Linked DNA regions of Rhinolophus ferrumequinum. The protein of the gene in region 1 purifies or fractionates together with the protein of each later gene. This does not show direct contact. Links are inferred from orthologs where the notes say so. Each region holds a gene or a part of one and is shown on either strand. Other genes may lie near its edges.

What was found.
Region 2: the proteins of EYA2 (region 1) and ACAD9 purify together in Homo sapiens (affinity purification with mass spectrometry; 3 studies listed by BioGRID and IntAct, with this or other methods). This does not show direct contact. The link is inferred for Rhinolophus ferrumequinum from reciprocal best matches to the Homo sapiens genes EYA2 and ACAD9.

Annotation. Positions count from the first base shown.
Region 1 is NC_046306.1:11,460,931-11,476,657, reverse strand, and holds the start of EYA2 (eyes absent homolog 2), read left to right. Parts: upstream 1-7,269; 5' UTR 7,270-7,286; coding exon 7,287-7,288; intron 7,289-15,024; coding exon 15,025-15,143; intron 15,144-15,727. UniProt on the Homo sapiens protein: Functions both as protein phosphatase and as transcriptional coactivator for SIX1, and probably also for SIX2, SIX4 and SIX5.
Region 2 is NC_046285.1:213,918-229,836, reverse strand, and holds the start of ACAD9 (complex I assembly factor ACAD9, mitochondrial), read left to right. Parts: upstream 1-9,807; coding exon 9,808-9,954; intron 9,955-14,136; coding exon 14,137-14,230; intron 14,231-15,919. UniProt on the Homo sapiens protein: As part of the MCIA complex, primarily participates in the assembly of the mitochondrial complex I and therefore plays a role in oxidative phosphorylation.

The DNA.
Region 1 (15,727 bases):
GTTATATGAAGCCATTTATGTCATTATGGCCAAAAGGTGTTTTTCCTAATCATTTGTGATCATTTTCAAAATGTGGAAAAACATTCCATTGATATAACGGGATGCAGTGAAATGAGATGTTTTTTCCAGCTTTGCCTGTCATGAGCTGTGGGACCTGAGGACATTTATTTAATTAGTTGGCCTCTCAGTTTCTTCACTTGTAAGGGTGGAGAAAAGTTTACTCTGTATCCTATTCTGTTCTAAGAACTATATAAGTAGTCATTTCACCCTAGGAGACGGGTACCGTTTTTATCCCCATTGGACAGATGAGAAAATTGAGGCAGAGAAGTGAAGCAAGATCCCATACCACTGGTAAATGGCAGAGCCAGGATTTGACCCAAGTACCCAGGCACCTGAGCTAGCCTGCATATGTATTCACCCCACACTGTTCCAAATTCCTGCTGGCTCTGCAGCAACCTCACAGGCTGCTTGGGAGAATGCAGTGAAGAAAGATTTGGGACAGCAATTTGCAAGAATATGTATTAATATTCTTATAATAGTCTTCTCTCCTTAAAAATTTTTAAAGAATTTCTAAACCCTAATGAAATCATTGATTCAACCCATGAGCATTAGTGGATGAAACCATTAGATCAGAGGTTTATGGGGGACCTCAGAATGGAGGGAAGGAGAGTGGAGCCCCCCAGACCCACTGGCCCCTATCAGTATCGGTAAAAGGGGGGCACCTGGACAGCTAGCCCCTCCTGATGTGATCCAGTGGGAAGAACTCTGAAGCATTACTGCCTCCCCGCCCGCCATTAATCTGAACCTATTCACATTTTAAAGCTAATTTATGGGAAATACAATAGAAAGAGAAATAAGTTAACACTACTATGAGGAAGTAAACAGAAAAGTCTAGAACATGAGATATTCTGCAAGACAGCTAACCTAGTCCTTTCAGCATGTCAATTGTCTGTATAAACAGGAGGGAGAGGATATTCTAGGTTAAATACATGTAAAAAACACTATAAGCAAATGTAATGGGTGGACCTTGTTTAGACCCTGAATCTTACAAACCAACCCTAAATGGCCGTGTGGAGACTGTTGGGGACTGGGGGGTGTAGAACACGGACTGTGTTTAAGATGGCACAGGGAGTAAGGTGAATTTTGTTAGGTGTCATAGTGGAAAGCGTCCATATTTTTTTAATGAAGCGTGGCAGATAAAGAGACTTCAAGTTCAGATTTGTTCTTGAAACTTCATCAAAGAGGAAACGAAACAAAACAAAAAGCTTAGAAGAGCCAAGTGAGGTAAAATCTTGAAAATTGTTTAATCTGAGTGATAGGTGCCTAGCGATTCATTTTACTATCCTGTCTGCTTTTGCATCCGTTTGAGATTTTTTATTTTAAAAAAACTTCTAGCCCCTACTCATCATGTAGCCACCTTACAAAGAAAAGGGGGTGGGGGGAGAAAAAAAGTCACTGTATGAAATTGCATGAACCTCAAAACAAGAAGAAAAACATTTAAAAACTCATGAATCACTGCATGGCCCATTCGATTTCAGGGTAATGATGTAATTAGAGGAGATCAGTCATTAGGGAAGATTAATTTTAAGACATCTGCTGCTGTCGGTGGCAGATGGCAGAAGAGTAGAACATTCAGAGCCAGACATCCTGGCTTTAAATCCATCTCTGCTACTTATCGGTGATTTTAGGCAAGCGACTTAAACTTCCTGTCCTCACTCTTCTCATCTGTAAAATGGGGTCTGAGTTCTGTCGATCTCATAGGGGCTACTGGGAAGATGAAGTGAGCTCAAGCATGAATAGCACTTAAAACAGTGCTTGGATCCTAGACAGCATTTACCGCGTGTGAACTATTATCGGTTTCAGTTTTGTAGTGGTCAGTGCTTCCTGGGGGCTCAAATAATGAGTTGGGTAGAATGAAGATATTCTAATAGCCAGTTTTTAGTATTCAGTTTCGCTTACCATTTCTCCAGTATTTTTCTCCCATCCATTCCCCTTCATTCAAATGAAAACGCTCTGCTCTGGAGTCTCAGAATGAGTCTCTCCGTGGTTTAAGATGGTTTACAACGGGTCCAGGTCATTGCGGTCGGCTGTGATTGGCTGAGCAAGAGGAAGAGGGGCAGTGACTGCCAACGATGCTGCCGGGGTATCTACTGAGGGTGGGGACCATAAACGCAGAGCAAAACGCCTTTGCAGTCTGAGAGGCACTCCAGCTGCTGCTTGCTCACTTGCTTCTTGGGGGAGGGGGTGTCCTGGGGCTCCCTGTGGTGGCCTCCAGGCATTTGACATTCTCCAGCCATCACTCGCAGGGGCAGGCCTTCCCTTCAGTCAGAGTCGTGGTGTTTTGCTTTGTGCCTTATTTCATTGGTTATGGGTTGGGTTTGTTTTGTTGTTGGTTTTGTTGGCTCTGCATGAGAAATATTCTATAAAGTTCTACATTTTGCTCCAGGGCCCTGTTGAACCCAACCTGAAATCAGTAGAACGTGTGTGGTCCTGTCCTGTTCGGTCACTGCACATTGGGTACTTTTTTGAAGGTACCTCTTGTGGGCCTAATGAATATTGGAAAACACATTGTAAAATGCAGGCATCTGAACTTGAGTCATGTTAGAAAAAGAAAAAGAAAAAAAGCCAACCTCAAGAGGTCATATACTGTATGATTCCATTTATATAATGTTTTCAAAATGCCATCTTAGAGCTGGAGCACAGAGCAGTGATTGCCAGGGGTTCGGGCTGTTTGGGGGAACGAGGTTGGTGTGTCTGTGAGGAGACAGCACAAGGGAGATCTTTGTGGTGATGGAGTAGTTCTCTGTCTCGATGGTAGTGGTGGTTGCTACATGTGTGATAAAATGACACTGAGTTACACACTCACACACACACACACACACACACACACACACACACACACACGGCACCAGTGTCCATTTCTTGGTTTCAATATTGTACTGTAGTTATGTAAGATGTAATCACTGGGGGTAAATTGAGTGAAGGGTACCCAAGACCTCTCTGTACTATTTTTTTTATAACTTCTTAAGAATCTATAATGAAACCAAAATAAAAAGTTTTTTTTAAAAAAAACCCCGTGGACAGCAAAACTGGATTAGCGAAAACAAAGGGCCCTTGTTTTACATGCTATCAGGAATGAGGGAAGCATAATAAAACCCTCCCGTCGACCATTTTTATTCTGCACCACGTTCCCACAAATGAGAATGTATCAACCCTGAGTGAGACGGTTTGGTCTGGGGCTAAGATTCTCGGCCCCGGGCTGGTGGTCCTTTCTGACATGACTCCCTAGAACATATTCCTCTTGGCACAACGATGGTGCTAAGGAGTAGACTGCCCAGGAGACATATTAAAATCATTGTTTATGTCTTCCTAAGAGAGTTTGGGGTAAAAGCTTTCAGATCAGGGAAGAGAGGCCGTACAGGGGGTGAGGACGGGACACCGCCATTGGGACTATAAATGGGATCAGCCACCCTGAGAGGCAATTTGCAAATGTCCTTTACAATTTTAAAGGTAGACCGAGCAGTTTTCCTTTGGGGTATCATTCCTAGAGACCTATATGCATGTGTACCCAAAAAAGCCTGTCCCAGGCAGTGTGGCACTTAATGACAAAACTTGGGAAACCTGGGGACTAGCCGAAAGAAGTATGGTATAGACATACCTGGGAAGCCTATGCAAGCAGTGAAAAAGAAAAAGCTAGATCTCTGTGTCATGACATGGAAAGAACATCAAGATACTGTATTATTAGAGTGAAAAAAATCCTAGAACAGGATGTACAGATCCAGGACATTTATAAAAATACATTCATATAGCACATTTATAAAATACTGTGTGTCTTTCACGATGTAGGTGGATGTTTCTGTGTGTTTATGACTAGAAAAAAGGTCTTCAGAACTATTTATCCTGTTAGTCATTGTGGGTACAGCTGGTGGGAGATATAGCCAAAGATAACTGCAGTTTTATCTAAAATTTAAAAATTTATTTACAAACATTTTGAGGCATTACCTGGGTGGTTAAAATTATATGTTAAGAAAGAAAAGGTAATGTAGTTATTTTCTCAGTTCTAGGAGAATCTGTGCGGCTCTATAGCCCAGCTATCTGGGGTCACCCACTGGTGAATGCCGCCTGGTGGTGAACAGCAAATCCCACTCTCAAATGTCAGCTTCATGAGAGCAGGAAACTTGTCTGTCCGATTCGACACTGTATCCCCAGTGCCTGGAACAGTCCATGACCTTAAAAAAAAAAAAATTGACATATATTAGTGAGCAAGAACAGCCTTTCTTTTTTGGTATTCGATATGCATAGTCAGCGATTCTAAATGATTGGCAGCCTGACTCAGTGAAGGAAGCAGTGAATGAATTTGGTGTCGACTGTGTCCCTACTTTATCTGCCTTCTTCTTCGCTTTTGGAGAAGAGGCTGAAAGCACCTTGTTCGTCACCTGTGTGTCCCAGCCCTGATCCCATAATTTCTATTAAGTGACACCTTCCCCATTGAAAGGGAGGTGGGGTTGGGGAATGGAGATGTGGACGGGAGGAGGGGCTTGTGACCACACCAGTGTAGCCTGTGGGGTCCTTGCCAATGGATGGTAAAGTCGGCCATGTGACAGCAGTCACTGAATTTCACTGGCTGCGCCTATAGTTTATTCCTGCTCGTACTTTCACACTGAACTCCAAGGTTGTGATGCGCATGTATCGGAATGCGGGTCACAGTCTTCTAAGACTGTGCTACTCAAGCATAATCTGTGGCCCTGCACTGCCTTCCAAGGTTCAGTTCCAGTGGGACAGAGCAGCTCTTCTCCAGCAGTTCATCCTGGGCCTCTCATTGGTCCCCATTGACTCCTGACCACCACCCCTGAGCCAATCACTGTAGACCGAGCGATGGGAGATGTTAATTGCCAGGCTCAGGGCCTGTTACTAGTAGGGTCAGCCTCACTCAAGCCACATGGACTGAGAGGCAGTTCCCCCAAAGAAAGAAAGGATGCTGTTGCCACAAGACCTAACGGGCCAAAATGCCAGGCACCCACTGCCCCCGCCACGCTCCTTCTCAAGCCATGATTTCTCCTCTATGCTGTGGCTGTAGACATTTCTCGTTTCTCCTCCTGCTTTCTTAGCTCAAAGCAAGGCCATCATTTTGCTGTATATACATGTATCAAATCATCTCATTGTACATCTTAAACTTATACAATATGTCCACTATATCTCAATAAAGCTGGAAAAAAAATAAACCTACAGGGAGGGCGGAAAAAAGCAGGACTGCTAAAGCCATGACAGCCAGGCAGAGCTTAATAGTGTCATAACCATAATTAACAAACACATTGTGTCATTTGCACAGGAGCTTTTGGACCATTTCTCCTTTCTGGGATGGCCTGGGGACAGTGACATCCGACATCCATGTACTTGGATGTATGTAGGCCGATGACCTACATACATACAGTGCTAGCGCTGGGAAGAATAGTAAACCAGGGGGTCTCAAACTCGTGCCTGGAGGGGCCAGGCAGGAATGTAAACGAGTGCCCCGTCTGGGTGGTGACAATGGCAGTGACCCACACTTAGCGGGCACTCGGTAAATATTGCATTTATTCATACAGCACATTCATTCATTATACCACAAATATTTATTAAACAGCTCTCAGGGGTCAGGCCCTGCAGATTTTGAGAATGTAATGGTGGATAAAACAGACAAAATCCCTGCCATCAGGGAGCTTACAATCTGGTCAGGAAGACAAGTGGATATTAAATAACATACAAACATCTATAAAAATTGTTATAGTGACTGGTGCACAAAAGGGTGAGTTATGGCCCTGTGGAAGCTGCTGAAGGGGAAGGAGCCCTACTCAGGAAGGGCCTGGGAAATCATGCTAGAGCTGAGACCTCTGAAGGGTGAGCAGGAGGGAATGGTGTCCCAGGCAGAGGGAACAGCATGTGCAAGGACCTCACGACAAGAGGGAGCGTGCAGGAAGAGCAGGAAGGCCAGTGTGCTAGAATGAGACGTTGAGTGAAGGGAAGCCAGATCAAGGCTGTGTTCAGAAGTCTTTGCTTCATTCTAAGAATAACAGAAAGCAAGTGGAGGAGGTCATGAGTAAGGATGAAGTGAGAGGGGCAGGTTTGTTTATGTTGTCCGAAGTCCCTCAGGCCACTGTGCAGAGAACAAACCAGAGGGAGGACAGCATGGCCCCAGGGAGACCTAGACGCAGGCGGAAGTGGTTGTCCAGGACAGAGAGGGTGGTGGCTTGGCCCTGGGCAATGGCCATGGAAATGGAGAACAGTTGGTTCCATGGATGTTTGAGGAGGTGAACTTGATGACACCTCGTGATGGATTGGATACGAGAGCTGAAGAAGAGGGAGGAGGGGGACAGTCCTGGGCTTTTGCTGTAAGCAACGGCACCCCTGAGACGGGGGAGCCCGGGCAGAGCTCGTTTGCACTTAGCAGATGTATTTAGAACTGAAATCAAATGAGGGTGGTGGAGGCAGCCAGAAACGTCCAGGTTTGGGCCACAGCTGCTGTCTATCCAGAAGCCTGTGATTGCTGTCAGCAGGTTTGGGTTTCTAAGCCCTGGAAAGATGCTGGGAGTTGGCCTTCTTTAGAGTCCGGTTGGCTGACTGGCCATCTGTCCCCTCCATCCAGCAGGCAGGGCCACTGTTCTCAGCCAAGGTAGCCAGGGAGCTCAGGGGGGTGTGGAAAGGTGAGCCTCCCACCCGCCTGGGACCCTCCATCTGCTTTTGATCCTTTCCAGCCTTTGAAGTTGCCCCCACCCCCCACCTTCCAGCTGTCATCTCTCCGGCTCCTCTGCAGCCTCACGCTCCCCCAATGCTCCTCAGTCCCCCGGGACAGGGGTGGTGACAAGGGTAACAAATGGTGCAAGCCGCTGGCAGCAGCCGACCAAGGAGAAGGCCAGAGGGCGGGGCTTCCGAATGCCTCTTTCTTCCCTCTCCTCTTGGCCTGGTTCTGAAGCAGTGGGGGTATCAGGGGTTTTGCAACAGGGCAACACAGGGGGGAAAATTGTGTCCTAAATGAATCCCATGCCTCTGCTTCCTTCAGGAAAGAGAAGCTAAGTCTTTCTCCTCCCCCCAGACTCTATTAGACTGTCTGATTTCTCTCTTCCCTCCCCTGCAAAGAGGATAAGCTGGTCTCCTATTTCAGGTAATTGTGACGAGGGGAGAAAAGGGAGAACAGGAAGGAAGACTCTCCCCAAATTGCAAGAGAATTCAACTCTGCCCGTCAGGCCACAATAGGAACCAGTGGTTGCCCCGACGACGATCCTCATGACAATTCCCAGTGTCTACCTGGAATGTATGTTTTAAGCTTTTGTCTGTGTGAATGCAAATAATGTCAGTATTTGTTGACAATTAAAAACCCTTTGTTGAGCACCCACTCACTCACACCTTCTCAGACTTAATCCGCAGGATAACCTGCCAGGAAGGGCACTATATTATTTCTCCATCCTTATGGATGAGGGTCGGAGAAGTTATATAACTTGCCCAAGGTCATACAGCTGGTAAGACACGTAGCTGGGATTTGAGCCCCTGTAGCAGATGACAGAGCCAGTGCTCTGACTGAGTGGGAGCTGGATAGACCCTGGGTTCAGATTCTGACCCAGTTTGACTTGCAAGCTGTGGTTAAGACCTCAGACCCTGGAGCCAGACCACCTGGCTGGGAATCCTGGCTCCAGCACTAACTACCAGGTCACTCTGTGAACCTCAGTCTCCTCATCTCTACCCACTTCATAGGATTAAATAAACTGATTTGATGTATGCAAAGAGCTCTTGGCCCTAGAGTAAATGCTCTTTAAGTGTTAGCTATTTTTATTTCTATTATCTGTAAAGCAAGCACTATAATCAGGTCCAGGTTAAGACCTTCAAAGACCTCAAAACACCAAAGAGATCAGCCTCCCTCCATTACTTCCCCATGTAATTCAGTAATACAACAATCTGACCCATAACATACAAACACAAAACTCACCCTGAAGTGCTGAAATTTTAAAAGCTTCTTTTTAGATCTTCATGGCTGAATAGGATATGTTCACTAAATACGAATGATTCACATTTTCTTGGTGCCTATGCTTTGCTCAGACCTAAATCTGTGTTTAATATTCCGGTTGGGAAATAGAGGGAGGATAATTATATCTCCCAGGGTGGTTGAGAGAATTAAAGGAGATAATATAAAAGTGATCAGGAAAATTGCCTGGCATGTAATAGGTGCTTAGGAAATGAGAGCTATAATTAGACTTTTTTTGGAAGCGTTTTTCTCACTCTGTTCATATTGCTATACTTTTGGTTTGCATCTGCAAGATAGCAGTGGCCCATAAGCGATAGCTGGCAGCCGGAAAGAACAAATTGTCTGGTTCTTAAATTAAGGGCCTGCTTAATTCGTGAGGACTAACATTTCTATTGCTTCTTCTTTGTTAGCAGTATTTATTTGCCATGCAAATTAATTGGGGAAGGACAAACTAATTGTTATATCTTCGCAGGTTGATTCTTTCATCATTGCTTTATGTTCCTCTAAATCTCCATAATGGTTTTTATTTTCAAGTCTATTTGAAATTATTTCTGCTTTCTTTTATTTAATATTTGCTTCTTGTGGATTTTTCCCAATATTTAGCTTTGAGTCTTTGTATGTCTTTATATTTTAAAAGGATCTCTTGTAATAATCAAGTGTTTAGTTTTTTTAGTCTAGTCTTATAATCTTTGTCTTTTAATGGGAGTATTTATTCTGTTTACATTTAATGTAATTATTGATCAATTTGCATTTAAATCTGTCATTTTATCTTTTTCTGTTTGTTCCATCTCTTCTAAGTTTCTTTTTTCTTCTTTCTTGCTTTCTTTTGGATTAATCAAGTATTTTTATTATTCCATATTCTCCTCTATTAGCTTGTTAGTAGCCATTTATTATTATTATTTAAGTAGTTACCTTAAGATTACAGTATGCATCCTTGATAAATCTTAAAGTTTACTATAAATTAGTACTTTTACCACTTCCAGGAACATAAAATGGTCTTAGAACATGTTTACTTCATTTATCCCCTTACCATGCATGTATTTACCCTTTTATGTTGCTCTCCATTCCTTGCTGAGTTTTCAATCTTCTAGAACATTCTTTTGTAATTTACGTCTACTGGTGGCAAATAATCCTAATTTTGGTTTGTTTCATTCTGTCATCATTTTTAAAGGATTTTTTTTTTTTTTTGCTGGCCTAAAATTCTACATTGGCAGATGAAATTCCATTGTTTTCTGATATTCATCATTTCTGTTGAGAAGTCTTATTACTCCTTCTGTAAAGATATCTTGTGTTTCATTTCCCCTCTGGGCTGCTTTTAAGATTAATATGTTCTTACACATGTGCAGTTTGACTATGACATATATATATATATGTATGTGTGTATGTGTGTATATATATATGTATATGTATGTGTGTGTGTGTGTGTATATATATATACTCCCAGGAGTGTTTTTCTCTGTATTTATCCTGCTTGCAAACCACAGAACTTTTTTATTCCTTTGGCTTGATATCTTTCATCAGTCTTGGAAATTTATCTGTCAGTTTCCCATTAAATATTGTTTCTGACTTGTTTTCTCTCTCCTCTCCTTGTGTGGCCCCTATAACATGTATGTTAGACCTTTTCTCCATGTCCCATGTGGTTTATGCTTTTTTAAAAACCTTGTTTCCAACCTTCCTTTTGAGATTTGTCTACTGACTTATCTTCCAGTTCATTAATCTTTTCTTCTGCTATGTCCAATCTGTGGTTCAACGGCTGTATTGAGTTCTGAATTTCAGTTATTGTATTTTCAGTTTTAGAATTTCCATGAGATTTTTTTTTAAAGATTCAGGTTCTCTAGTAGAATCATTCTATACCTTAAATCTATTTTCTTGATCATATTATCAAAGTTGTTGGGGAGTCCATGTTTGATAATCCCAATATCTGAATCTTATTTGGGTTTGGTTTTTTTTGTCTTGGTTTTTGATCATTTGGTCTTGTCTCCTTGCATGCACAGTAATTCTCTTTTTTTAATTAAATGCTAAGCATTGTGTATAAAAAATTATGGGGACTCTGGAATATGACATCTCCCCCCAAAAGAAAAGTTACTTTTCTTCTGGCAGGTGGTAATAATAGAGGCAAATCATTTTTATCCAATAAGGGATTAACATGACTCAAGGCAGGATCTATTTGGTTTGCCCTTATTCCAAGGGAGTCACCCTTCAGGGATCTCAGTTAAAAGCCTGGTGTGTTTACCAAGGCCTCTCATCCTGAAGGGCCATGAACTCCAGTATTTTCCTCCCTAGTACTGGGAGATTACCAAAAGCTCTCTTTCATTTCCTGCCTTCTTAGCTACCCCTTTCTGCTTGACTTCTCTGCCTCTCACTCCACCCAGCTTAGGTATCAGCAAATGCCTCAAAGGTAATGACTGTCAACAATATTAGGCTCACTTCTCTGTGGTCTCATATCTCTAGGATCTTTGCTTGGGCTCTAGCTGCTTTAGTAGCCCTGAACTCCAATTTTTGTCTCCCCAGCCCAATGAGACTGGAAAACTCTAATCTGTTACTTTTCCCCTCTGTGCTTATAAATTGGCAAACGTCTTGCAAGGAAAAGTGGTAGAGGTCAGAGTTAACTCTGTCCATTTCTCATCTCTCTGGGATCTTGAGCCCTCAATCCCTGCCTTGGTTGCCCACCGATGCCTTAAAACAATGTTTTGTAGCTTTTATTTTTTATTGTGATAGTGAGATTGAACCAAAAATACAAACTATCTCATCATAGCTGGGAGGTAAATTCAGTTAGAGAGTTTAATACACATTAGGGGAAATGGCTTATTTTAATTTTCTCCTATATTGGAGAAAAGTGCAACTTTAAGCCATATTAAATGGAAGACTTCAGATGAATTGAAGACTTAAATATGAAAGGTAAAATTCCAAATCAATAGCTTAAAATGTAGGTAAACCTTAATATTCCAGGGTTAGGGGGAAAAAAATACATTTAGAAAAAGAAGAATTATTGGACAAATATGTAATAATTTTTTATGGCACACGACACCATAAAATAAAAATTAAAAAAAAACAGACAAATGAAAGATTAAGAAAAGAAATTTACAGCCTCTAAAGCCAGCAGTGAGCCAATACCTAAACGCTACAAGGCACTCCAGCAAATCAACAAGAAAAGAAAATCCAGTAGAAAAATGGGCAAGGATAATAAATATGAATAGACAGTTCCCAGAAACTTATATGCCCCATAATTATGTGAATATATGCTCAAACTCACTAGTAATCATAGAAGTACAAATGAAAACAAATATGAGATACCATTTTCTACCCGTTGGTTGGACAAAAATTAGAAAGCTGGACAATGCCAAGTGTTAGCAAGAATTTATGAAACGGGAATGCTTATGCACTTCTGGTGGCAATCTATATTAGCACTGGAATTATGGAGAACAGTCTGTTACTACTTGGTCAAGTCCAGTTCACATGCCACAGAAATTCTCCTCAAATATATATATATTCATTTTAAGAATATATGTGTGTATCTATAGACACATATGTAGATACACATCAATGTATGTTTTATTTAGATTAAGATGTTTATTGCAGCACTGTTTCTAGTGGCAGAGAGATGAAGGCTTCTTAGGTCCTCATCACTAAAGCAATGCATAAATGCGATGGAGTGGTTGGTGCACAGCATGGAATTGTAGCCACAAGCTGGATAACCATCCAGCAATATGTATCCATTTTAAAAATAGTGCAACGTGAAAAAAAGTAATAAACACAATGCGATCTCACGTACGACACTATTCGTATTAATGAAAACACGTCACACATAAAACAACATGGCATCATTTATAAGGAGACAGATTTAATACATTAGAGTCACTGTCTTCTTAGAATGGGGTAGATAATGAGAAATTTTTAAAAATCTTGTTGAAAGAAGCTGATCACTCAGTTCCAGATTTCCTCCCTCCCTCCCTCCCTCACTCACTCCCCAGTCCCTCTCTTCCTCCATTCCGTCCTTCCTCCCATCCTCCACCAGGTGTTAATCAGATGACAGAGTGGACAGGTCTTCTGTGTCAGGTGCTGTGAGGGAAGTGTAGATGATTTCCATGTTGCTCGGCCTCCCAGGACCTTAGGCAAGATGTGAAAACACCAAAAGTGGTCGCAGCAATCCTCTGTCCCAGAGTTAAAACTCACAAACACATTCCTGATCTGCTGTAATGTCAACAAATGCTGTTTGGATGTGCTAAGAGCTCTTGAGAATGACAGCAACACTCAGGAAAATAAATAAGCTATGTGACTCAGTGTCACATTGCTGTTTCTTTCCTCATCAGGCTTTTTCTTATGATATGTATGCCATGGCTCTCAAATGCAAAGGCCTATAGGGTCAGGAGGGAATATAAATGGAAAAAGACAACCAAATGTGATATACTAGGGAGGGGTGGGGACTGAGGCAAACTGAACCCATCTGCCTTGACTGACTTGATCCGTCACTGCCAGCTCCTGCTAATTGTTGTCATGCAGAAATGTGACAGTAATCTTCCATTTTCAAGAGAAGCTAAAAAATCTAGATTTTTTTAAATGTGAAATTGCTTCATTTTAAAATATTGGCCATGACTTCAAGTATTTTAAAACCCTGAAGAGGGGGGAAGATAATTCATTTTGTTTTTTACTGGATTTGGTCATTTAGCTTACAATTGGCTGCTAACAGATACCCATATGCATGGCATCTGTATATATAGAGACCAGTGCTATTTTTGGCATCATTCTTTATTTTTTAAACCTTGAATTATTTGTACATACCCAAAAGGATGAAGGGAATGAGTTTGGATAAAATGCAAACTTCTGGCACCCACCACCAGACAACAGGTTCAAGGTCTATTTGCTGAGTTCCATACAGTATATATGCGTTGATGTGTTAAAAGAAGGAGACGCCGAGACCTCTCTCCTGGAGTACCTGTGGCATTTGGGGGACAAGAAAACAGGCACACAGCAGGCATGTATACCTGGGAACATTTAGGAACCCAATATGTATCAGCTCCTGTAAAGATATACACAGTAGAAGCTGATTTGTGTGGAATTCTCTCATCAGATTTAAAAGTATATATGAAGTACTTCCTATGAGTAAATCCTGGGATAAGTGATTTCTTTCTTTTTAAAAAATTATTAAGTATTTCAGGTACACAAGAATGTATAGTAACCATACCATAGTGATATGCCCACCATCCTGCTTGCAAACTAAAACTGGGATTGGCAAACATTTTCTGCCAGATAGTAAGTATTTTCAGCTTTGTGGGTATCTAGCACCCTAATTCAGAGGTTGCAGTGTAAAAGTAGCCATGGACAACAGAGTAAACCAATGAGCAGGACTGTATGCCAAGAAAACATTACTTGTGGACACTGAAATTTGAATTTTACGTAATTTTCACATGTCATGAAATGTTAACCTTATTTTGATTCTTTCCCCAGCCATTTAAAAATGCGAAAGCCATTCTGAGCTCACGGGGCACACAAAAACAGGCTGGATTGGGATGGGCCACAGTTTCTGTCAACCCCTGAACTGAAATGTTCCACAGTTGAAGCCCCCCGGGTACCATTGCCCAAACTGCGTCCCCTTACTCTTCCCAGAGTTAGCCATTCTCCTGAAATCAGTGTGTGTCATTCCTACACATACTATGATCTTTTTATTGCATGTGTCTATATTCCTAAACAGTATATAATATTGATTTGTGTATTTTTCACTTCGCAGAAATGGTATCAGACTTTGGGTACCCTTCTGCCTCTTTGCTCCGTACTTCGTTTGGCAATCTGTCCATCATGCTGTGTACAACTCCAGCTCCATCTTTTTCACGGCTGTATTGTATTCCATTACGTGAGCATACTGCCTCCGTTTATTCATTCCTGTGGTAATGAATGGGCGTTTAGTTCGCTGCCTTCTAAGTCCTTTCTTTACACGTATCATCTCTTTTCACCTTCACCGTGACGTTGTCAGGGAGGTACTTTGATAATCCTCATTGTCCAGATGGGAACACTTTTGACTTAGAGCCGTCTGGTAACTTGTTCACGGTAGTGTGTAGTGACAGTGGAGTTTGAATCCACAACCTTTTCCTGGTGTAATCTGCGTTTATAACCGTGTCGCCATCAATCGATACATTGTGTTTTATTAACACAATGGTAACAGATCCTGGCCTTGGATACTGATGCCAGGCAACACACTTGGATACTGATGCCAGCCCTCTCTGAGGGCAACTTGAATCAGTGTCAAACATGGCTGGTTGTCGTTCAGTCCTTTGCACACCGCCACGTGTGATATTGTGCGCAATAACCAGAAACTTCGTTTCCTAACCACAGCGGGTAGGAATTTCGGAGGAATAAGTACTGACCTAGTACAAGAGGTGGAAAAGTCTTCAATAAAAAATGAGACTGACCCAGGAGACTTGTCCCTACTTTTCCCTCCCCCTTCCATAACATTTTATCAAAATCCTAATTCAGCAGCCAGTGTTTTCTTTCTTGGGAGGGACCACAGTGATGGGCTGTGAGTTTTGCTGCCCACAGGGGCTTAAATATCAATGACGCCTTTTGAGCCTTTCTCCATCTGTGTAAGTAATGCCATGTAACACCATGTCCGTTTTTCACTCTTAACGGCGGTCCAGCTTCTCCCCGTACCTCTGGCTTGTGAGAATCTAAATTCAAACACTCCCTCTCTACCTGTGAGCCCCTTCCTCTCCTGAGAAGTCTCCCTGGCTCGCTCCAGCTCATTCAGATGACATTTAAAAGAGACCAAAATATAATTTTTCTAATGGCAAAATACAGGAGGAAGGAGGGGAAAGTTTTAATCAAGTGGGCGTATTCTCCAGAGGGGACTGAGTACTTCATTTTAATTCCTCATTTCCCTTTGATGAAAAGTTTAGTGAATTTTTATTATGTAGAATTTATAAGACAACTGGGTTTAGGTAATCAGCTTTAATATTTATACTCTTAGGGAAAGAAATAGGAATCATTAGTAAGCATGCATAATTAATGAATAAATTACATTTCCCTTTGTCTTCTTTCAGGTACAAGGAAATGCTAGAACTAGTGATCTCACCCAGCTTTACGGTAAACAGCGCTTGTCCTGGTAAACTGAAGCTTAACCGTGCTGGCACTGATGTCTGGACTCTGAGTGACATAGAAGGTAGGCCTCCTGGCGTGCGTTTTGCAGGACCAGTGGTGGTCCCGCGGAACATAGCAAGGGACTGACAGACAGCCTTAGGCATGCTGCCTCCTTTGGAAAGTACTGTCGTTATGACAATGTCTCCTCCTGCCGTTGAGATTGTTGCCTCTGGACCAAAACTTTGGCATATGCGGCTGACAATTTTGTCTAGTCATTCGAGGTGAAAGTATGTTTGTTTGTGTTCTGAACTTCCTGTCTTGGTCTCCAGTTCCAGAAATGCTGACACTGCCACAGATGGTAGTCGGTTTCAGGTGTGTTCCAGGCCCGGCCCTGGGTGTGTCCTTCAGGGTCTGGGGCTTGAGCTGGGAGGTCCGTCCCTCAGCGCTCTCCTGCCATTGCAGCGTCCAGGCAGGCGCCTTGTGTACAGGGGTTTGACGTTGGGACAAGAACTCGTCTGCCTTTTGCTTTCAGGTTGGGTTGAAGTCAAGGAAGCAGAGGAGAGTTAAGCTGTTTGAAAAATTATTGGCAAATGATGCAGCCAGACTAGTTTTCACTAGAACAATTCCTGCTATTGTTTGCTTGTTTGGGATCTGTCAGCCTTCCTG
Region 2 (15,919 bases), on another chromosome or scaffold:
TCTCAGTGCCTAAGACTTCTGTTCTCTGCAGCAGTGAGGGCTTAAACCACTGTTTTCAGCCTTGTTCCCTCAGTCTTTGCTCCGAGGTCTCTGCCGTGAGCACTGGGTTTGGCCATATTGTATGCTGTCCCCTCAGCCCTGTGGGCCATAAGTGGAGCCCTAGCAGTCCGAGGTCTACCCTCTCCCACAGCTGCGGTAGTTCCGGATGCAGCGAGCTCGGAGCACTGAGCTAGGTCTGCGTCCTGTGCCTGCGCGGCTCCGTCTCCGCACTTCTCCCTTCCCTCGTCCCCGACTCACGCAATTCGCCCACCTTTAGGTGAATTCAGTAGTGGGCCTCTTCGTCTTGCCTGTCTGCTGTGCAGGGAGTCCTTTGTGGAGTTATAGTTGTTCGATTAGTTGTAAATTCCAGGGGAGATTTACAGAGGTCACCTCACGCCGTCATTTTGATGACGTCTCCCCAAAGTATTAGCATTTCTTGCTGTTCATAAACCAACTGATTAGCCTTTTATTTTGTTGTTCATAGTATTCCCTTAGATCCTGTAGCCTTCTCTGGCATCAAAGCTATAACAAGGGAAACGTTTTAAAGCCGAAGTACCACTGCATCAACTTTGGGTCTAAAGTTTATTTTTTACCCCTTAGTCTTCCTTCTCTAGTTAACTTCTCCAGTTAAAACCCATTTTGCGCATCTGGAATTCAAGCCAAACTCATTATTCTGAAAACCTGTATATAGATAATGTATTTTATAGCTAGCTATAATGTATATTTACAACTAGTTTTTATTTCCTTAAAAAAAAATTTGCTAGCCACAGAAAAAGTGTTGATGACTAAATACTGCTTTATCTCACAAGCTGGATTCTGTAGACGAAAAAGGGGCCACACACTAAATTTGACAATCTCAGAGGAGGCCTGCATGATGGGCCCTACAAACTCAGAGACTGAAATTAACCACCTAGGATGGTATGAACATAAAAATTCCTAACTGAAAGGGAATAATGGCTGGTAGTCACGTCCTAGGCCTGTAGCTTCCTTGACAAAGGTCAATGTTTACCTTAAGTGAGCCTGTGTATTATCCTTTTTCATCTAAGTTAACATACCCTTGGAATGTCAGAGTAATCCATTTTTTTCTGAACTTTTCAGAGCACAACCGGCCACACCAGACCAGGAGGCACAGAACCCTTCATGGTTATCTTGTTCCCTGAATACTACTCCTATGTGCTGTAAAACGTTAATTATTAACTACCCTGTACCCACCAATGTAAAAGAAGTCTGTGTCTGTTTTACTTTTTATCCAGTCCCAGAGATTTCCCTGCTTTGCTTTCTCCCACCCCCCTAATCTACCACCAATGGATTTCATGCAACCCTCCTTACATTTCTTCCTTTGATTCTAATGTATAAAATAAGCTGCAAAACTGCCATTCTCCTGAGCAATTTCTTAATCCATTGAGATTTTGCTTCCTGGCAATTGTTGTCAGTTTGGCTCAAATAAACTAATTAAACTTCTCTACAGGTTTGGACATTTCTTACATTGACAATTCACGTATTAGGTGCTTAATCATTCACATTTGGCAGACACTGACTAGAAACCAGACTTCGTTCTAGAGAATATTTTTTAGTAAACAGCACCCAAATGGCCTTTTCATTGTGACCTGGAGTCCAAATCCAGCTTTCTGACACCTTTGGCTGGATATCCTGAAAACCCATTCTTGTATGCCTTTTGCAGTTAAAAGCAAAAATGGGAGCTTTTTGTAGGGCAGTGCTGGGCACTTACAGTTTATGTGCTATAATCTGGCCAGCAAGAGAATACTGGATCTTCATGGGAAAAGTTGGGGGGAGGGGACCTATTAATTACAATATATTGCAGGAAAAAAATAACAAAATTAGTTCCTTAGGTGAGTTTCACTTTATCTCTCTTATAAATTATAGCTGGGGAAAAAACGAATTCAAGTACATATACCAAGTTCTGTTAAGTGATTAAGAGGAGTAATTTCCTCTAAAAGGGAAAAGACACAGCAATTGTCAATAATTTTTGACTAAATGCCGAATCTTCAGGGTCCTGTAATCTGACTTTACAACATTCAGGAACTGAGAGTTTTTCATGCACTTCAAAGGAGAAATGATAAATGAACGAATGTGGAAAAGAGTCTATGCATAGGAAATAATGTTTTGCTAGATTTCTTTTAAAGGAGGGGGGTAATGTGAGGGAACTGTAAACTCTAACTCATGCTGAGTGAGCATGGAAAGCTTTTTGAAATGCAGGGACTCATTTTGGGTGGCCTGAACTGACTCTACCTTCTGTTGTCAGTGGGTGAACCATTAATGAATTTTCCTGCATAGCACTTCATTATCTGGTTTGCAGTCCACAGTCACTGGCTTGGAGGATTACAAAAAAATACTGTTATTAGTTTCAAAGAAATGTTAGCGCTGAGAGGCAAACGCTGTTGCTAGAGCCTCAGGGCTTCCTGGGAAGAGGCTGACTGCTGAGTTTCCTGATAATGAATGACCTAGTCGGATCGCTGTGTCAGGATTGCGTATGCAGGCATCAGGGTGATGAATTGTGCTTCCCAAAATATATTTCCAGGTCATTATTTGTTCTAATTGAAAAGGAATATTCCACAGTAAGTCTCTTTAGCTTGGACTGGCATTGCATCATCTTTATATGCCGTTTCCCATGAGTTAAGGTTTTCCCCAGCTGACGCTGCTAGCTGGACATCTTGAAATGATTTCAGGCTCTCCTGGCTTTTGTGCAAACAGATAAAGTAGACCCCAGTGCATTCTGTGATTACCTGGCTCTTACATTACAGCAGTTATTTGCCTTGAGAATTCTGGAGGTTTCAACACAGCATTTGCATTATCTTATGTGCTGTTCTTAGTGGAAAAGTGGGTCTACATGCTCTAGAACTTAGATCTTAGGCTATTTTGGCTTTTGAAACATAAGGGAAAAATAAAATCTAGGGTATCTTGTTTTTTGTCATCGTTAATATTTCAGCTCTCCCAACGTTTATAGACTATCATCATTAGAACCACGTTTAAACTAAAAGCCCATTTTCTTAACATACATTAAACATTTATTTCAACATTGCATTTTTTTCCCATATTTCAGAGCCAGCAAAGATAAAATGATCCCAATTATGGAATTGGGTACCTAAACTGTGAGCACTGATGGTAAACACATATGACACACCCCCAAGAACTCCCAGAAATATTTGGGGGAAGTTTTCAAGAGCCTGAGGTTGTTTTTTTTTTTAATTGGGTGTGATTGGCATATAACATTATGTCAGTTTCGGGTGTATAGCATGATGATTTGATATTTGTATATATTGCAAAATGATAACCCGGATAAGTCTAGTTACCATCCATCACCACACATAATTACAAATTCTTTTTCTTGTGATGAGAACTCTTAAGATCCACTCTTTTAGCAACTTTCAAATAAGCAATACAGGATTGTTTACGGTCACCATCATACTGTACATCACATGCCCAGGACTGTTCTCTCATTTGTAAAACAGTGAATTTACAGGCCTCTTTGGAGTATTAAATGAGATAATACATATAAAGAGCCTAGTACAGAAAGCACTCATTAAATGTTAGCTGCTGTTATCACTCACTTTGAGAGCACCATCTCTATTGACCGACATAGCAGTGTGCTTGCCCGGTGCTCGATTAATCTGCCTGATGGATTTGACTGCCCCTCGTAATGATGACTCTTTGTATTTGTAGTGTAACTTACATAATTTTTTCTTTGAAACTTGAACGGTAGTATTAGTTTAGGTAATATTTAACAAATAATGTTTATTAGTTAATACTGATTGCTTTAGCAATTAAACCCCCAAACATCAGTGGCTTAATACAATATGTATCTTGCTCATGTAACAGTTTAATGTGGGTGTCCCTATTCTTTGTTTGGTTTTCATCCATATGGTTGATTAAAAGACGTAGGCTCTTTCCATTTTGTACTGCCAGCCCCTAGAGTACAGCATCCTCTGCTTCCAGCTGGTGGAAGAGGAAGCATCAAAGAATTACCACTCATTTCTTAAAAACTGAACAGAAGTCACATATTCCATCACATTATGCTGGTGAGAACATTATTCTGGATGTGGGGAGGGAGGAGGCTTTCACTGACAAATGCTCACTAAGGAAGGGACACACTTTTTTGGTTACTAGTTGCCTCTGCTACAACACTTATTCTAAGTCATAGATAATACAGTTGAGGCTCAGAGGGGAGGGCACTTGCCTAGAATCACATAGCTGACAAGTGGCAACATTGGGACTAGATCTCTCCTCATGACTCTTTTTCATGGTCTCTTTCCTACATTTTGCTCTGCCTCCTACCTATGCAACAGGCTGTGTAGTCTAAGGGGATTTCCAAAATTTTTAATGGAGCCAAGAGTCTTATCATTTGGAAGACTGCTGATTCCAAACCATAGTAGGAGCACTGGGTATATGAGTTCTAAGACATAGCCTCAGTTCTGTGGTCACAATTAGGCCCTATTTATTTTTGAAAACACTGTGTGCCAAGAATTACAACACCTTCTGTATTAGTCTGCTGGGCAGCTGTAACAAGGAACCACAAATTGGATGGCTTAAACAACAACTTATTTCCTGAGTTCTTTTTTTTTTTTCCTTTGACAGAAAAATGTACATTTATATTTCCTTAGTTCTTGAGGCTAGAAGTCCAAGATCAAAGTATTGGCAGGGTTGGTTCTTCTGAGAAACTGTTCCAGACCTAGCTTCTTGTGGTTTCTTGGCCTTGATGTTCCTTGGCTTATAGAAGTATTATCTCAACTCCGTCTTCATCCTCGCATGGCATGCTCCCCGTGTGCACATCTGTGTACAAATTTCCCCTTCTGATAAGGGCATCAGTCATATTGGATTAGGGGTCCGCACTACTCCCATATAACCTCATCCTAACTTAGTTACATCTGCAAAGGGATGCAATAGGAAATTCTTTCTAAATAGTCACTTTCTGAGGTACTGGGGGTTAAGACTTCTCCAAATGAATTTTGGGGGTTATACTTCAACCCATAACACTTGTCAACCCCAAGAAAGAAGGTTATCTACCAAGAAGGTCTTCTGGTGGCTATCTGGGCTCAAATTTAAAAGCAGAGCCTAGCAACCATTTCTAAACAGGGGCCTCTCACACAAACTGCACTTCAGGTGAGTAGAGCCTCCAGTCAAACTGGAGTGGACATTCAGTATGAGCAAGAAATAAACCTTTGTTTTTTAAGCTACTGAGTGATCAGGTGGCTTGTTACACATGTTGACCCTGAGAAGGAAAATATTACCAAGAAAGGCTCCTGGTGGCTAACTGGGCTCAAAAATTAAAACAAAACAGAGCATAGCAGCTGTTGCTAAACAGGCCTCTCATGCAAACCGCACTTCAGGGAGAAGCCGGCACTGAACTGCCTGCCTGCACTGTGGTCCTGCCATCTGAGCCAGCCCTTGTAAAGGAGTTCCTGGAAGTGTGTTTCAACGAACAGGACTGAGGCTTTTCCTGTCAAATCGGAGCTGTGCAGCTGTGTCACCATCAGCATCTTCACCAACCAATCAGAGTGGCTCCACTCTGACCAATCAGGACAGTGCTGTTTGGACCAATAAAACTGTGAGGATTTGGACTCCTCATTTACATAACGTCAGAACAATCAGGGACCAGTTGCAGGGACTTGTCTCTATATCTCAGCTCCCCTCTAGCTCGGGGAGCACATTTTCCCTTTCCACTGAAGACTGTTTCCCTAGCTGGAGTTGAAACACCAAAGACATCTTGCCACACCAGAGTGGAGTGGACTGAAGCAGATGGAGTGGACCAGAGCATGGCAGAGCCTACCTGAGTGGACTGGACTGGAGTGTCTTGACTGAGGGCCACCTCTGTGGAACAGAATGTGCTGTTCCAAAGCCATTCTGTATCATAATTGAGCTGTAACACTATTGAGCTGTCGCATACCTGTGCTGTTCTCACAGCTGTGCTGTATCACAATTGAGCTATTTGCACTGAATAGTTTTCCTTCTTCACTATACCCCAAATTGGGGATTCCTGTTGGCATTGAATTGGCATCAATGACCATCAGTTGACACACTCCATTACCTTTGCAGCTTTCAATAAGCTAGTGACTTCCAGGTTTCCATAATAAATAATGTACCCCAAATGGGAACAAGTATAAAGCAAAAAGGAAGGAATAGTAGACAGCATAATGTAGTGTATGAGACAAAGGATTCTTTGAGGGACACCTCTGTACACACAGATCTTTGGTCTTTAGACAGTAAGGTGTCAGCCAACTTCTCTCTCAGCAGGAAATAAACTAGTGATAAAATGTGTACAACTTATTTGTGTGCCCTTGTATTAGGATATTGACTGCTTTGAGGCAGAAACCTTAGCTAGACTCATATTTCACATAACTGATTATTGATCTTATAGCCATGGAACAGGAGACAACTCCCCTCACCCTTTCTTTTCTCCAATTCTGTAAGTCAATTTCTCCACTGGCTTCCGATTTTGCAGCTTTAACACTGGGGTATCTAGGAGTAGTTTTCTACTCAGACAATATGCCTGTAACTCAAAACCAAACATCCTGGTATGCTATTATGGCCAAGGAAGAGTGTCAGATTATTTGCTGGTAAGTTATGTATGGGAATCAGCTGCATTGATGTGACTCATAGAAAGGACATTCAGAGATACAGGCATACCTTGGAGATATTGTGGGTTTGGTTCCACACCACCGCAATAAAGCGGATATTGCAATAAGTGAGTCACACAATTTTTTTGGTTTCCCAGTGCGTATAAAGTTATGGTTACACTATACTGTAGTCTATTAAACATGCAATAACATGTCTAAGAAAATAATGTACATATCTTAATGAAAAATAATGTCCAACTGAGAACTTTGATGGAATTTTGAAGTTTTATCTTTTTGGATGTCAGACTTACTAATTTAATTAAGCAGATATTGTTTAAAGAGGAAAAAAACACAAAAAATAAAGATACTTTATTGCTCAAAAAAGGCTAACCATTATCTAAGTCTTCTGTGAGTTTAATCTTTTTACTGGTCAACAGGCGTGCCTCAATGTTGATGGCTGCTGACTGATATGTGTGGCTGTGGCAATCTCTAAAAAGAAGACAACAATGTGGTGCCCTTTCTACCATATCTGCAGTTACTTCCTCTACCGACGTCTTGAACCCTTAAAAGCCATTCACGAGGGTCGGAATCAACTTCTTCCAAACTCCTGTTAATGTTGATAGTTGACGTCTTCCTGTGAAATCACAAATGTTTTTAATGGCATCTAGCATGGTGAATTCCTTCCAGGTTTTTAATTTACAGATCCATCAGAGGAATCACCATCTATGGCATCAATAGCCTTATGAAACGCAATTCTTAAATAAGACCGTAGCAAATATAATCATAAAGAAAAGTCTGAAATATTACAAGAATTACCAAAATTTGACACAGAGACATGAAGTGAGAAAATGCTGTTGGAAAAATGGCACCGATTGACTTGTTTGGTGCACGGTTGTCACAAACCTTTAATGTACAAAAAGCAGTATCTGTGAAATGCAATAAAGCACAATAAAACAAGGTATGCCTGTACTCAGTGAGGATGTTTTAAACTCTGAAGATGGGAAATTCTATGTCTATAGTAAACTACTTAAAAATGGCATCCTATTTCTCAGAGGCTTATACTCAGGTATAAGATACAAACCTCAGAGTGTAGGCATTTTTCATTTTTACAGTACTAAAGGAAAAACATTGCTCATTTAATGTGGTAGATGCTTTCATATGGATTATTTTACTAAATCCTCACAAAAATCCTGTGAGATAAATGGTATTATACTCATTTTTATAGATAAGGAAACTAAACTTAGAAACCGGCATAGAACTCTATAACTCTTTTCCCACTGTACACACTACTTGAGTACTTACAAATTATGCCTTAATTTATTTATAATTTTTGTTTTGGAAACTGTGTGCCACTGAATTTCTCACTTGCTTAACTTAAGGTTGATCTCTGTACACTAAACAGGAACTGACACATTATCAGATTACTTGATTGATTTGACATTTGTTTTGGCAAAAATGTACAGCAGCTCAAGATTGAAACCCAGGTTTTGCAATATCACTTTTCTTTGTTTCATCCCCCTCCCCAGGTTAATTCACAAAGGCAGCAGTTTCCAAATGCCTTCTTGCAAAGCTATATTTTGAAATAGACAAATATTGATCACTGATGAAGAAACCAGGCGATAAACCTTTGCAAGTCAAAGAAAAGACAAAATAAAAAACAAATTGCAGAAGATGTTTGCAAATACACTGCAACCAATAAAGTTTTTGAGCTCTTCCCCGATGTTCTATCAAGTTTTTACTCAAACAAGTAAACATTTTATTGGGCCAGGCATAGCACCATTGAGATGAATGAGATTCCATTCAACTCCTATTCTCCAGGAGTTGCCATAATGAATGAAGGCAAAAAGGATTTCCCAATACTGTGGTAAATGCTATAGTCAGGGTACAAGTACAATGAGAGGTAAGCAGAGAGAAAAATCTTCCTGGAGGAGGCTGACTTAAGACCACTAGTGAGTGCACACTTGGCCTGGTTCATCGCTGGGCTGTGCGGTGTCTCAGAGATGCCAGGTCCTCCTCCCTGGGCCCTAATGACTTTCTGGACCTATTCCACCAATTATTGTTCCCACCCCTTCTCGGTTCCCTCTGAAGCTTCTCTTCCTTTGCCTGCCCTTTTAAATTGGTGTTTCCTAGGTACAGTTGTAACTCACAGGATTTTATCCAAACCTCTCTCCTGCAGAACATCACTTTTCTTTTCCTACACACACACACACACACACACACACACACACACACAGTGGTACCTCAGTTTTCCAACGCAATCCGTTCCGGAAGACCATTCGAGTTCTGAAACATTTGAAAACCGAGGCGCAGTTTCCCCATAGAAAGTAATGCAAAATGGATTAATCTGTTCCAGACCTTTAAAATCAACACCTAAAACTGTAAATTGAGCATGAATTTTACTATCTAATGATACCACAGATCCATAAAATTTACGGCGTTCGTAAACCAAAATGTTCGTCAATGGAGACGTTCAAAAACCGAGGTGCCACTGGGGTGACAATGATATGCACACATATGTTAAGAGGTGTTATCTATGCTGAAGTATAGTTTGCTATAATCAGAAGTCTCTGGACACTGAAGATAACCAGGTAACCACCTTGAGCACCTCTTGTAATTGCAGAAGTCAAATGTGACTTATATTCATCTTTTGTTATCGTTATGTATTATTACAATTTAGTTTTTTCCCTTTCTTAAAATGTGTATACATTTTTTATTGTACACATATAATCGAAACAAAACGACTTCTCACGAATCCACCATGCACTTTAAAACCGAATCCACCATCCACTTTAAAACCGTAACATTACCGGTACTGTGGGTTCCCTTCCACAGGTATATCGTGAAATTTCCCCATTCCCTTGCTTTTCTTTAGTTTTACAACGGCCTTGTTGCTCCACTTGGCAAGAGGGAGGTAAATGGAGGCAGCCAGGCCGCCGCTCACGCGCTGGTGCCCACAAAAATAACAACGCCCTCCTCGCCACCACGGCCACCAGCCAGGACAGCAAAACCATCAAGACGGCAGCGGCCCCGCCCCCCTGATCTGCCGGCGGCCCTGGGGGGCGGGGCGGGAGGCTGCTCAGGCGCGTGGGCGGGCGGCGCGGGCCGGTGACGTCATCCGGCAGCGCGGGCCCGGTGCACGTGACTGCGGCGCGGAGGAGAAGGTGGTGGCGGTGGGAGTGTGGGGATTCCCGGCAGCATGAGTTGTTGCGGGCTCTTGCGAAGGGCTGTGGCATCGCGTTCCTGCAGCGCTCTGGTGGCCTCTGCCGTGAGCCCGCGCCGGCTGAGCACCAGTCGGACGAGCCGAGCTTTCGCCAAGGAGCTCTTCCTGGGCAAAATCGAGAAGGTAACGCCAAGTCTGGGCCCACTCGGGCTCTCTGCCGCCTGCTTTTTGCCCCGATCAGGAAACACTGGGATCAAGCTTTTCCCGTGTCCGCACACCTGAGGGGCAAGGCGTGCTAACACTCCAGGTTCCTGAGTCCCATTAGATCATGTGCATTTTTCCAGGGAAAGGGAAGAGTCTTTCCAGGGCGGGGGGCCCCGAGAACTCATGGTTTTGACAAGTGTTCCATTTTGTTCTTGTCCAGTCAGTTTGGGAAACACTAGGCCAGGCGATGCAACCCTCAACTCAGCGGTCTGGCCCCCGAATGTGTGGGGCTTCCTCTCTGAATCCTAAACACAGCTCGGACCGTGCCACTCTGTCAGCTTCCAGCAGACCCGAGGCGTCCACAGCTGAGTCCGAGCACCTCACTCTGCCATTCAGGTTCCTCTGCAGTCTGGCTCCAAGGTGCCCTCACCCCATCCCTTCCACGGTGGCACCACCCAGTAGTAACCCAGATCTTACGCAATAGTAATAACAGCTTGGTTATTAAGCATTCAACGTCCTCTTATAGTAGGAAGACTTGGATTTGACCTCGGTTCTGTGACTGAGCCTCAGTTCTTTTAGCCTTAGAAAAGGAGCTAGTGATGTATTCTGTCTCACAGATGTGTTGTAAAGCCCCAGTGAAATATATAGGGTGTGGAAATGCTTTTTAGCCTGTAAGGTACTGTGCAGATGCAGAAGTCAGCAGAATAGGTAGTAAATGCTGGCTTCAACACTTACTAGTGTATGTGCCTAGTACTTACCCCCTCCTAAAGGTGCTTTGTAAACCAAAGGAAAAAACTTGCATAAAGTGCTTTGAGCTTGGCTGAAATGTTGGCTGATAGTATATCATTTAAGGACTTATTCCCTGGTTTTCCTTTGGAACATTCCTCTAAGGTTGCCAAGCATTACAGATGCAGAAGCAGAGACTCAGACTAACAGTGGTTTGCTCTGGTAGGAAGTATACAAACTCTGTCTTTAAGGTTTAGGAAACCATTTTCCCCCAGCCTGAGGCTGTGGTGCTCTGTCCTGGGATCTCATGCCCGCCTCAGCACAGTGAAGAAAGAAGACAAGTCATTCATGCTTCTCTTTTTCCAAACTTTTGGCACTCCCTCCCCCATTGTCACTCTGAGCTGTCAGCTTTGCTTCCTATTTCACTGAGAAAATACATGCAGTCAGATGACAACATCCACCATAACACTTAGCCGCTCCTTCCTATGCTCTGTGCCGTGTGGGCTGCATTCTCTTATTGTAGATGAACTGTCTACTTAAAGAAAAGGCCAAGCGCGTCACTGTACCTCATGTCTTCTCACCTACTCAGGGCTTTGACCCAGTAATTCTGTCCTTTCTCATCTACATCATCAGTTGTTCCTTCTCTGCTGCATCTTGAACTCACACCATTCAGGCTTTTGTCCTGAACAATCCACTTATGCTCATGAAAGTCAGTAGTGACCTTTGTGTCATCACATGTAGAGATCTGTTCTCTGTCCTCATCTTACTTGACCCATCATTGGCGTCTAACACAGTTTATCACTCTGGCTTCTAAGAAACTATTCTCTCCTAGTTTTTCCATCTGCTTTACTGGCTGATCCTTTTAACTTTTTCACTTTTTCTTTCTTGGCTCCTTGACCTCTAAACATTGGCCAACATTTTCAACTAGCCCAGTTGGAGCTGGAGTTTTTTAGGGCTCAGTCTGTAGACTTCTACAACCCCACATTGGATGATCTAATTTAGTATTGTGGCTTTAAATACCATCAATATGCGGATGTCTCAAATTTATTTCTCCAGCTCAGATTTCTCCCCTGAACTCCAGACTCTTTTTATATCTACCTTTCTAACAAAAGCTTCACTTAGGTGTGAATAAGCATTTCAAATTTAGCATATCCAAAACTGAGTTCCTGGTCTCCCTACCCAACCCCATTCCTTCTACCAGCCTTCTTAATCATAAATGGTTAATTTACTGTTCAACTTGTTCAGGCCAAATACCTGGAGTTACTTTTGATACCTCTTAGTCTCATAATCCACAGCTAATCTGACAGCACGTCTTGTTTTCTCTGCCTTACATTTAGAATCAGATTCTTATATTTAGAATCTGACTGCTTTTAAGCACCTGCACCACTATTGCCCTGGTTTAGGTCAGCATCATCTCTCACAGCATTATTGGGGTTTGAGCAGGAACGTGGCATCTGAGATGCCTAGAATTTCAGAACAGAAAGAGACCTTCAAGATCATCTAGACCAGTAGTTGTCAAACTGCCTTCAGGTGGACCCTCGTTATTCATGGGAGTGTCCCTGGGGCTACTGCTGGGACCAGTGGGAAGCCGAGTAGGAGACATTTGGGTGATCTTTCTCCCCCTCTGCAGTCTCAACCAGAGCAGCTTGACTTTTATTTGTTCTACGTATTTGGTGTCTGCACTAGATTTAACTAAAAAATATGTTTTACTACTTTAAAAAATTTGGAAGCGCAGATGGGAATTAAACCCAGCACCCATGAGGCACCCCGTTTAGTTTATGAACACTGATAGAAGAGATTTGTTCTTCCATGCATGGAGATCTCGCTCCCTGCAGCAGTTAGCCTTTGGTTGTGCTTGAGGGCCATCTAGTTCCCAGGCTGTTCTCTTTTCTTTTCTGGAGTGCTCACTGGTACCAGGATAATCTTATAATCGTCCTCTAACATAGCTCATTGCACAAGGCCTGAGTGAACCCATGGGCTTGTGAAAGCCAGAGCAGTGGGTTGAGCATCTGTATTTCAGCTAAGGAGCTGGCTGTGTTCTGAGAGGCTTCAGAGTGATTAGTCTTAGCATATTTTCCTCCTAGACAGTCTAGGACAGGGTCAGAAATGGCATGGAGGCAGGAATTCCTTTTAAGTCAGCTATCACTTTTGGATAGGGAACCACCTATAAGCCTTTAGTCATGGGGCCTGAGAGGAGAAAACAGACTTGGGAGTATGTTACTAGAGTGGACAGTCTTTGGTGACTGATTAGAAGTTCAAGGGCTGGAGAAGGAAGATTGAGGACTCCTTTGCTTTGAACACCTTGTCTGGAGACATTTGATGAGAGGCGCCATTAGGAAAGACAGGGTCTGGCAACTCATGATCTGGGACACCATTTTTCAGCAGCTGTGAGTCCAAATCCAAATACTCATGTCATGCTGGCAGGGCTGTCTGGAGCCCCAAAACCTTGAGGGACTAAGGATACAGTGGGATGATTTTAGGCAATATACAGTGATGGCCCAGTGGGGAATCCTGGGCCAGTCAGAAATATTGGCCACTCATTGGATTGAGACAGAGATTTGAAGCTAATTTGTTTTCCATGGTGTGAAGTGGAGGTAAGAGCAAGTATTTGTCACAAATACAGTTACTTTATGTTCCAGGACGTATTACCTCTTTTGAGCCTCACAGCTACCTTCTGAGGTATCTGTAACAGAAGGGAAACTGACACACAAGTCACACATCTAAGAAGTGGCAGCGTCAGGGCTGAATTCAGGTTGATCTGGGTCAACAGCTGGGCCTCCTCCAGTGACCTTCTTACTTCGTATGTTTAGCACAAGTAGCAGATGTCATCTAGCAGGGAGGACAGAGGCTGGAATATGCAGCTGGCTGGGAACCTGGCAAGATGTCAGACCTTGTAAACACAGTATGTTCCCGTCAGCTGCAGCATCTTTGAATTTACAAAATAACAAATGTAAAACTTTACATTTTAGTAATGAGCTTTCACACCAGTTATCTTCCATGATTCTGACAACAACCTTGAGTAAATATTACCTGCATGTTACTGGTGAGAAAATGGAGATGTGGAGAGATAAAGAGATTTGGCCACACAATAAGTAAGCTGCAAATCAAGAAACAGAGCTCAGGGCTTTTAAATGTTTAGTCCAAGTCTCTTTGTTTCATGGGAAAATCATCATGATTTATTGATAAGGAAAGCTGATCAAAGTCGGGAATAAACCTGCTTGAGATACAGGGAGGGAGGCTGTATCTAGGTGGTGGAGTCTAACATACAATTCTTATATCTTAAATACCTTCTGGAAGTTGCTTTCTAATTCCTTCAATGAGGAATGCCCTGCCTACCAGATATGGACTCTAAGAAATCTGTCTCCCTTTTCACTGATATCACCACTATAGCAAGTTCCTAAAAATTAATTTTTATTAAGTGTTTATCATTTTTAGAAAGAAGTTTTCCCATTTCCAGAAGTTAGCCAAGATGAACTTAATGAAATCAATCAATTTGTGGGACCCGTAGAAAAATTCTTTACTGAAGAGGGTATGTATGATTTTCTTTATCATTACCATATCCATTATAAGGGCAATGCTTTGATATTTACGTTAGAAGCAGTAGACACAGGGGAAGCTCTCTTGAGTGTCATTAAACATGGGGAAATAGTATCTATTGATAATACGAGGTGTGATCACGAAATATGGTGAATGTTTAAATGTAAAAAATTTATTGCAGTAAAAGACACATTGCCATTAATGCCATTCAAAATACTCCCCCTCACTTTGAACACACTTATCCCATTGTTCTTGCCACTTTCTGAAGCAGTTCTGGAAGTCCTCTTTCGTGAGTGTCTTTAGTTGTGCTGTCGTGGCTGCCTTGATGTCTTGAATCGATTCAAATTTTTACCTTTCATGGCAATTTTGATTTTGGAGACGAGTCAGAAGTCGCACGGTGCCAGATCTGGTGAATAAGGTGGATGAGGACACATTGTAATGTTTTATTTGACAGAAATTGCTGTACCAGAAGTGATGTATGACATGGAGCCTTTTCATTGTGATCACAAAATATGGGGCCAAGTGCCATCCAGTGGAAAGGCAGGGATCTTCAATATGGGAAGTGGCGCCTTGAACCTTACTTAGTAACAGTGTGTGACAAGTTTTAACTTGTTCGGTGCAGTCAGTCGGGTGTAAGCTAAGGTTGAGAGAAGGTGTGTTTTAAAGTGTTCCGTAAATCATGGATCATGAACAACGCATTAACATGAAATGGGCAAACGGTTTCATCCTCCATCATGACAATGTTCTGTGTCACACATCGCTTCTGGTGAAGTGTCTTTCAAATATTTTATGCATTAGAGATATTTGGTTTTGTTATTGAGTTGTAAGAAGTCTTTTTATATTCTAGATACAAGATGTTTATAAAAATTTTTCTCATAGTCACTTGTTTCACTTTTTCATTTTATTAAGTGTCTTTTAAAGAGCAAAAGTTTTAAATGTTAAGTAATTTTTTTCTTTCATAGTTCATAATTTTTGTATATGAGAAATCTGCTAAATCAAGGTTGTGATGATTTTTTGTCTATATTTTCTCTTAGATTTATATTTTTAACTCTAAATTTTTAAATTTATAATCTATTCCCAGTTAATTTTGTTTATGATGTGAGGTTAAGTTTGAGGATAATTTCTTTGCATGTAACTATCCAATTGTTCCACAACACTTATGTAAAAATTGTCCACTTCCTATTTAATTCACTTGGTACCTTTGCCAGAAATCAATTGACCAGAGGATTCTGGGAAGATAGCAGAATAAAGCGCACCAGAAATCTGTCTTCCCACCTAGACAGCAATTGCACTGGCAGAATCTGTCTGATGTAACTGTTTTGGAGATCTGGAATCTTTTCGAGGTTTCCAACGCCCAGGAGAAGGCTTGGACAGTAAATTGTGCTTTTATTTTGATAGATTTAAGCTCTGAGCACACTAGCAGCTACCCATTCCTTTCCTCAGCCCCAAAGCAGGCAGCTGTGAATTTATTTTTGGAGCAGCTTGCACATAGCTTGTGGGAGCCATATTGGACGAAAGGACTCTGCCCATAAAATATTAGGGACCTGTGTTTTGATTGCTGCTTCTGATAACAGAGGTGCAAAGAGGCAGAGGCTTTGCACCTACTCTGCATTGTCCCAAGCCCATCCCCCTCTGGCTGAAATGACTTCCAGGGAATTTAAAAGACTGCCCCCCCAGCCAT